Schizosaccharomyces pombe: one gene and its partner. Changing the gene in region 2 together with the main gene of any one other region gives a genetic interaction. Each region holds a gene or a part of one and is shown on either strand. Other genes may lie near its edges.

Region 1 (4,376 bases), on a different chromosome or scaffold from region 2:
AGTTGAACGGAAAATTGAAAAGCTTTTGGAACCTCCATCACAGAAACCAACTGTTGCGCTACCCGTTCCTGACGATAGGCCAAAACGTCGTCGTGGAGGAAGAAGAATTCGCAAGATGAAAGAGCAATATGCCGTAACGGAATTGCGGAGATTACAGAATCGCGTCGCCTTTGGTAAGGAGGAGGCGGAAGTCTTTAATTTTGACGAAACGGAAGGTCTTGGTATGCTTGGTCAAGAAGGTGAAGGAAAAATTCGTGCAGTGTCAATTGATTCTCGAACTAAATTACGGTTACCAAAAGCGCGGAAGGCCCAACTACAATCAATGGCACAGAAGAATCCCCTTGCTGCAAGCGGTTTACAAAGTTCATTATCCTTCACACCTATTCAAGGCATTGAACTAGTGAACCCCTTACTTCAACGACAACAAAAAGTAGAAGAGGCCAACAAATGGTTTCGTGATGGTGTTTTTACACAGATAAAGAAGGATTCTAATGAGCCGAAAAATAAATTTTCATAATAATGTCTTCATAATGATTAGTTACTTTGCATATAGCTATGTTGCTTTTGCATACTAGTAATACAGACCATAACTATGACCTGAGTGATTAAAATAAAATGATATTTTTAAAATTCTTCGAAAAAACTGATATTAACAAACAATTTTGAAAATTAAGAATATTGACTAATAGATGAAATTGCAACAAGCGCTTTTGCCATAAAGCTAGGCATAGCAGGAGAAGGCAAAATATCAAAATGAACGTATGAAACTATTACTTCAAGAATGATATAGTCAACCTTCAAAATGTGTGAAAAGAGAGTAAAAAAATACTAAAACCTTGTACGCGCGGCAAAAGGTAACCCCTAATTAAGTTGTGAAGTAAGAAAAAAAAAAGCGATACATAAAAAGAGCGAAAGATATTATTATTTACAGAAAAAAGAAAAATCTTTCATACCATTGCTCAATTGAAACGTAAAATTATCGGTTAGTGTGGAAGAAAATTATGAGTCATGGAAAGAACGTCTTTTGGAAAAGGAATGATCGGAGAATAGAGAGTTAGAGGACGCACTGTGAGGAATACTCCAATTATTTACAGAGGAACCAGGACGTTGAAGTCCCGTTTGTTCCCTTTGCGTATCGTTCCAATCTAACACGGAAGAAATTAATTGCAATATTTCGAAACGTTTAGTGTCAGCGCGAGGAAGCGTCAAAAAGGAGACAAACAAATTAGAAATAAGTTGTTTGTCAATTTTTTCTGCATTATTTCCATCTTTAAGCATGCAGAGAGCCTTTGTAAGATGTTCATTCAAAACAACGGCCTCGTGCTGCAGTTTACCAATAAGTAGGGTTTTTTCTTTCACCTCGTGCTCCAAATCAGAGACCCTTGAAAGCCTTTTCTGTGTAGCATCTAACTCATTTTGCAAATCTTCGTACTCTTTTGATTTAGAAGCGAATTTCTCAGTCACGTCGTCCATGGCCTTCTGCCAATTTCTGGTAAGTTCACCGAGGTTTTCAGTATGGGAAGCTTTGGTGGATTCTAATTCAATTTCTAGTTGATGCTGATTTGTCAAATGACGTTGAATTTCAACTTCATACTGCTCTTGTCTTTCAGTTTCTCTAGCTAGCTGCTCTTCACAATCTGCCAATCGAACGGCCAATGATTCTTGCATCTCATGTTCATCTCTGGCTCTTCTTTCCCATTGTTTTGATTGAGTCGATAACAATTGATTTTCTTCAACAAGCGAAGCATTTTGCTGTCTCAAATCTGTTATATCTTGCGTTAAGCTTTCTACTTGTGCGGTCAAGGTTACGGTTTCTTCATTGCTCAACTTAAGTGCTTCCTCTGCATCGCCCAAAGACTTTTCGAGCTCTTGAATTCGTTTTCGATTTTGAGCTAACTCTTGAGAATCCTTCTTAAGCCTTTCTCCCAACGTTGACTTAATTCCCGAGACCTTCCCGAGTAAATTAGAGTGTTGCTGCTTCAATGAGTTATAAGAATTCTTTAATGTTTGATAAGCTTCCTCCTTCTCCGCCAATTTCTTGAAAGATTCTGAACATTCTAAATGTTCATCGTTTTCTTTCAAAACTCCGCCTTTTTCATTCAATTTGAGCTCATTTTTTTCATCTTCTAAGTTCAAACGACTTAAATCCTCTTGTAAATTCTCATTTTCCACCAATTTTGTTTCATTTCCTGCATTTTCTGCCATTCCAGAAATTATGGGAAATTGAATTAGTGAGCTCTAGAGTGGCCCTAAAACATCCATCTTTTCGTAAACATTTCCATAAACCTCGATAATATTCCTTTAACTTGGTTTACGAAATACTAAACCTTTTGCTTTAAAATTTGTTACTACAATAAACAGTAGCAACGTATTCAACTTTAACTGTAAGCTACGCAGTTTGGTATCTGATTTAAGGATACGTAGAACTGCGGTGAGTTTTCCTTATGGTCTATTTATATTACAATACACAGGTTGTATAAGTAGCAACTGAGTATAGGTATTGTATTAACTGGGTTATAATGTTACCTATCACTAATATAGCTCATAACTGAACTGAGGAACGAGGTTCAGTTGTAACGCTATTTATAATATTTCTAAATAGTTGTTATTAACGGGTATCTATGTATATAGACGGATAGTTACCCGTGATTATCAATAAACGGATCTTAGCTAGTATTCCAACATATGACATATAGTGATACGCAACGTAGTGTATCATAGCGTAGTGTAGTATTGCTGACATTAACATACTTTGTTGACCGTTGTGCTGCGGTACGCCCCTATTCTTTCTCTGCTCATGTTAACCAACGAACGTGGTGAAATAAACCGCTAAGTTGGAAAAAGAGTGTTTCTTTCTTCCTTCTCCTTTCTCGTCCCTCACTGCCCAACATAAACAAACTCCCACACATATGAGGTTGAACGAGTCTGCATATTCTTTTTAAAGAAAAGAGTTGTTTTCTTATTCATATTGACGGTTTGGTAGTTCCTACGAACTTGCATTTCAGATTGTTTATTTTTCATTCGGGTTTTTGCAAAGTAAGTAGCGTTGTCTTGCATCTACGGTGATAGAGCTTTCTTTCAAATAAGGAGGATTGCTGGTCCTTGGTTTGGTCAACATACGGTTTTTAATCACATTTCGATTTTACGCTGCATTTTCGATTTGCTTCAGATATCATTAATTGGTAGATTTGAAGATTATAACATTGAAAAAGACTTTTTTCACTGTAAAAAATATTTATTTTTTTATATTCAGCTATTCGAAGAACATTTTTTTTGCATTTTTTTCTTAGCTGGGTAGGTGTTCTTCACATTGGAGAGCTGTTTTTGGTTGATTGTTTTGTTACAAGATTTTTTGCATTTGTATATTACACGGAGCTTTTCGTGCTGATCATTTTTTACTTCTTGATTGTTCTTTACTGTTTGTGGTATATTTCTAAAGAAAACACAAAGTAAAGTAATTTTGGGTAAATAACTTTTTCGTTGTGGCCCTTAGAACAGTATCCTGGTACTGCACATTTCTTCTACTGACGATATTTTTACCGGAACTCTGTTCCGTACTTAATTCTCGGCCATTTTTGACACCGATTTTTTAAGTAGATCCCAATACAGCATTCTTGGATACTTCTGTCTCTTTTAGCACCGTTTTCCTTCTCACAATCTACTTTATATTTCTACCATTTTCCTATGGGACGGTTTAAGAGGCATCATGAAGGGGACTCAGATTCCTCCTCATCCGCTTCCGACTCTTTATCAAGAGGAAGAAGGTCTCTTGGTCACAAGCGAAGTAGCCACATAAAAAATCGGCAGTATTATATTTTGGAAAAAAAAATTCGTAAACTCATGTTTGCTATGAAAGCCTTGCTAGAAGAAACAAAGCATTCAACAAAGGATGATGTGAATTTGGTTATCCCTGGTTCTACTTGGAGCCATATTGAAGGAGTCTACGAAATGTTGAAGTCAAGGCATGATCGCCAAAACGAACCTGTCATTGAAGAACCCTCCTCTCACCCAAAAAATCAAAAAAATCAAGAAAATAATGAACCAACATCTGAGGAGTTTGAAGAAGGAGAGTATCCCCCGCCATTACCACCTTTACGGTCTGAGAAACTAAAGGAACAAGTTTTTATGCATATTTCTAGAGCTTATGAAATTTATCCAAATCAGTCGAATCCGAATGAATTGTTGGATATCCATAATGAAAGGCTAGAATTTCTTGGTGACAGCTTTTTTAATTTGTTTACTACGCGTATTATATTCAGCAAGTTCCCTCAAATGGATGAAGGAAGTCTTTCCAAACTCCGGGCAAAATTTGTTGGCAACGAAAGTGCTGATAAATTTGCAAGGCTCTATGGGTTTGATAAAACACTTGTCCTCAG
Region 2 (4,702 bases):
ATTTTTTTTCACTTTATCTTTACTTAAGTTTCCCGATAAAGAGTCAAATCTGGGATCACGAGTAAATTTTTTTGGTTCAGATATTACTTCGCGAAAACGAGAAACTGGTTTTTTACTTGACAATTCTTGAGGGGCGTGTTTCTTTCTTTCGCCAAAAATTTTTTGTCAACTTTCTCAGTATGTTTCATATTTTTTCTGTCATTATCTTTGTTTTTTGCTGTTCTTTAAGCAGGTCCCTTTGAGCATTCAACAATGTATCAAACGGAATCTCAGCTAACTCTTCAAATTTGTGAGTAAATATTAATTAAGAAAATAAAAGAATTTTTAACATACGACTTTTAGCTGTTTTTGATTCGTTGTTTGAGTCTTCATCGTCTTCTGAATCTTCATTATTAAAGTTTTCAAATTCTTCTTCTGAGACCAATTCTTCGTCGCTATCTAGATCATCTTCGTAAACACCCGCATTAGCAAGAGTCCCATTTTCAAGTGAACTTGATTTCATTTTGGCGATTTGTGAATGTCTACTACATAAAAGTATAAAACCTCTCTACATAGAGTATTTACCGTAGCGCTAAATATAGCGTTAAATTTGTAAATGCTTTATACTATTTACTATTGAAAACTGCATATTGAAGCCTCGAAGGAACTTTGAAAATATTCGTAGTATGTATATATCATCAAAAGTTTGAATGCTTTATGAAAATTGAAAACGTTTTACGAAAGCTATTAGAAAATTGGTACAACATAAAAAAAAAATTTGGAATGGATCATGCCTATTAAATATTTTAAATAAATTTGAATGTTTCTATACGTAAAATATGACATTAGAAAAATTCATCTACATTTTCGTTCTCATTAGCGGGAGGATAATATTGAGGCAGCGGTCGAGTATGTACAAATTCTTCAGGTTCGTTGGAAACATAAGTGCTTGCACGCTGTAAGGAAGGAGGAACCACCGCTTGATTTCCAATAGTATGAGAACGGTTCCTCGTTCTTTGAGTTGTAAGCAGTGGTTTTTGTTTGTCAATGCAGTATTGACTGAAAGAGGCACCTGTGATAAAAGGATGATTTTTCGCCTGGTCAGGAGTCCATCTCTTCAAAGGATTTAACTCTAAAAACTGCTTTATGAAATCGATGAAACAAAGTCTCTCTTCATGTTCTTCAGGAGTAAGCTTAGGTGTGGTTTTTCGGCGAGGATAATTTAAAACAATAGCATCGAGTGTCTTTTCACCAAAATATTGTTTTCCAGGTTGCTCTGTTTTGTTGTTTTCGATAGAAAACTGTTCGATCGATTTAAGCTCATAAGTTTTTCTACCGTTTACAAAACCAGAATTGTAATATTTCTTCGAATTTTTACCCATTTCTAACATCCAAGTGGGAGGATTACCAAGCATGTCAACAATCCGACATAATTGATTATATTCGGAATTTCCAGGGAACAAGGGAAGACCTAAGAATAGTTCAGCTAAAATGCATCCCAAAGACCACATATCAATTCCACAGTTATAATGTAGTCCTAAAATTACTTCCGGACTGCGATAGAATCGCGATTGAATATAGGTATAAACTGTTTGGCGTTCGTGACAAGCACTACCAAAATCTATCACTTTCACAATCGGTGATGATAAATCCTGCAACAGGATATTTTCCGGCTTTAGATCACAATGTATGATTCGAGCTTGTTTGAGGAGAGATGTGCACGATAGAAGTTGCGTTGCGAAAGAACGAACAAGACTTAAATGTAAACCACGGAACTGATTTTGCTTGATAAGCTCATAAAGATTAATACTGAGTAACTCAAAAACGAGACACAAATGATTTTTATGCATAAATTGATCATATAAACGAATTAAATGGCGCTTGTCTTCTGGATCGTACTTATTGTTAAGGAGCTCTAGTATAGAAACCTCCATCACACATTGGTTATAAAATGCCGGCTTATTTTTGATAACTTTAATAGCTACAATTTGTTGGGTTTTAAGATCTTGGCATCTAGCAACTTGACCAAATGTGCCATGCCCCAGGGTGTCGAGAATCAAATATTTACGGCCTTCATCCGTTCCTAGCAAATCGTTAACATACAATACATAATCATGATTGACGTTATCAAAACCATGGTTGTGAACTCCTTCACTGGGTTTGGTGAGTGGTCTCCGAGGGTTTTGTTCGGAAGAAAACTGGAATTTTGGATTACAAATTGAATATGTATCAGCTAGTTTCACAGTCATTGCTTCTAAGGGCTATATGTTTAATTAGTAAAATGCAGAGCAAGTAAAAAATTTCGTACGCTAATATAGCTTCCATGGGGAGACACCCTTCTGTAATTGTATTTCTTGGTTGCCGGTTTGACAGGAGCAAACAAAGTTGTTCCAGAAGACGAGACATGACGAGCATGATTATTACGCTGCGAGTGATCATGAGTCCTCGCAGCAGGAGGATTGTTCGATAATGGAAGAATGGGCGAATCCGAATCCATATGAATAGAGACGCCTTTTTGTAAAGTATTGCAAAGAATATATCAGTATAGGCAGAATACGAGTGCCTTCATTCACACTCGAATCACTTTAAAGTAACGTAAAATAGTGATCTCTTGGAACGTGAGTCGATGCACAACAGTGCAAAAAGGAACCACAAGTTATACTATTTACAAAGTAGTAGTTGACAGATTAACCAAAGGAATCTAAAAAAGAAGTGCTTTAAAGGAAAAAAGTCAAAGAGTTTGAAATGAACGCACCAACCGGCTAATCAATTTAATGGAACAACTGACAAAGAGCTAGTTTCGCTTACGATAATCTCGATCTGGAACAAAGGGAAACACTTGTGGATATGAAGCTTAAAATATGAATTTGGAGGAATCTTCTAATTTTCTTGTTTATAGCGTGTAGCTACAAATACAAATATAATATTCGGCAGAAAATCGAAAATATTCACTAAAATAAGCCGATAAATATGCACAGTGCGAGTTGAACGAATAACTAATCAACTCCACCGTATAAATTACAAATTTATACGAAAAACAACACTGAGAGATTTCGCAATTTATTGAAAGATGAAGGATTTAACCAAAAAAAGCGGCTTGGTTAAAGGATAGAGAGGAATCTGAAGGAAAGGGATGACGACACACCGCTTTGTAGTGAGCCGCGTGTAACGGCGCTGACGATGACTGAAATAAAGTACAATTGCTTGCTATGCCTTAATCAGTTTTACTGATTTTCAATCTATTACGTAATAGAGTGTATCAATGAATTAAAAGGCCGTCATTAAAACTTTGGCTTGCAAAAAAATACAAGAAAAAGTTACTAGAAGAGGATCTTTTGATTCTTATATTATTAAATAGTTGGATCTTAGATCCCAATTAAATAATTAAATATTGTTTCAGGTTTCCGTGACATGACTTAAGAAGGCGATAATTTCGCTTACATTAAGGTTCCTGCTCTTACTCTCCACAACGAAATCAATTCGTATTTGAAAAGACGAATGAATTTGGTGCAAAACATCCGTCTATACCAATAACCGCGATAAATAAGAAACAACTTCCATTGAAAGGCTTATTCGAAACATCAAGCGCAATGTTTACCAATAGTACGCATCCTTAATTCAGAATAGTAGCAATTTTTCGAAAAAACGGATATTCTCCATACTTAGTATATTTGGATGTTGCACAACCATGTAACCGGTTGGATATTAAAAGGAGGAAAAACGTTTCTTGTTTGGCATCTATCTGTAAATGAAGGAGTCGTTGTTAAAACATTCTCCACGCCGACTACATTCGTACATAAAAATTTTCGCATAAACGACAAACGAAATGGTTCCTAGTCCAATGTTCACACAAAAATCTGTAGTGAATGGACGAATATTGGTTATTGACTTCAAACATCTAAGGAAACATAAATAGACGCAAGATATCAGAATCGAACTAGCTTATATGTAAAAATGTTCCTACCAACTAATGCTCCTACGTACTTCGCATGACACTAGATAACATAAATATTTCAAATTTTAGATCGCTAACAAAAATTACAAAGCACAATGATATTCATGAAAGATATATGTTGTTTAGCTTTGAACCTTTATTGAAACTGGGAGTTCATTTTATTTATGAAACAACCATACAACGTTATGAAGTAATATTTTTCTGAATCCAAAGCTGAAGACGTTTAGTCCGTGAAATTCAAACATCCATTTACAATTGTGGTACCAAAAAGTTTCCCAGTCTGGATTTCAAGATGGCTACAGAAACTGCAAATACGCCAAGACTCACGAAAATGGAAGAGTTTTCCTTATTGACGACTAAAAGATGTTAAATTAATAGTTTTACAGGGACATACCCTTTTTGAAAATATCTTTTTGAGCAGAAATGCGATCCATTTTTGACTAAGTGGTTGAAGGAACGTGGCTAAATACCGACTTGTAACGTAATTTAACATGACTGTGATCGCTGCCATAAACAGTGATCAGGTAAAATGTATGGCTTCAATAACCCTAATTGATAACCCTAAGAGCTAGCTGTATGGATTTTGTTTTGCAGTAGAGGAAACATTCTATACTGCAATAGTTTTTTAAGACAAAACGCTTTATATTTAGTTTACTTGGTCTTACGAAATAATCAAGAGTAGCGCTGCGGAAACAAATTTTTTCCTTTAAAATTTTCCATAATCATTATCTTTTTTAGTATTTTTTCATTTTTTTTTCGGGGGAGGGG

The links.
Region 1: mutations in ppk15 (region 2) and rud3 together harm fitness less than expected from each alone (positive genetic interaction), as found in Schizosaccharomyces pombe (one large-scale study listed by BioGRID).

The regions. Positions count from the first base shown.
Region 1 is NC_003423.3:738,104-742,479, reverse strand, and holds rud3 (golgin protein Rud3), read right to left. Parts: upstream 2,218-4,376; 5' UTR 2,206-2,217; coding exon 1,000-2,205; 3' UTR 604-999; downstream 1-603. Other genes in the region: U4/U6 x U5 tri-snRNP complex subunit Prp31, read left to right, coding at 1-517; double-strand-specific ribonuclease Pac1, read left to right, coding at 3,685-4,376.
Region 2 is NC_003424.3:2,583,529-2,588,230, reverse strand, and holds ppk15 (serine/threonine protein kinase Ppk15), read right to left. Parts: upstream 3,059-4,702; 5' UTR 2,477-3,058; coding exon 2,288-2,476; intron 2,241-2,287; coding exon 825-2,240; 3' UTR 757-824; downstream 1-756. Other genes in the region: tom6 (uncharacterized protein), read right to left, coding at 4,184-4,290, 4,329-4,368.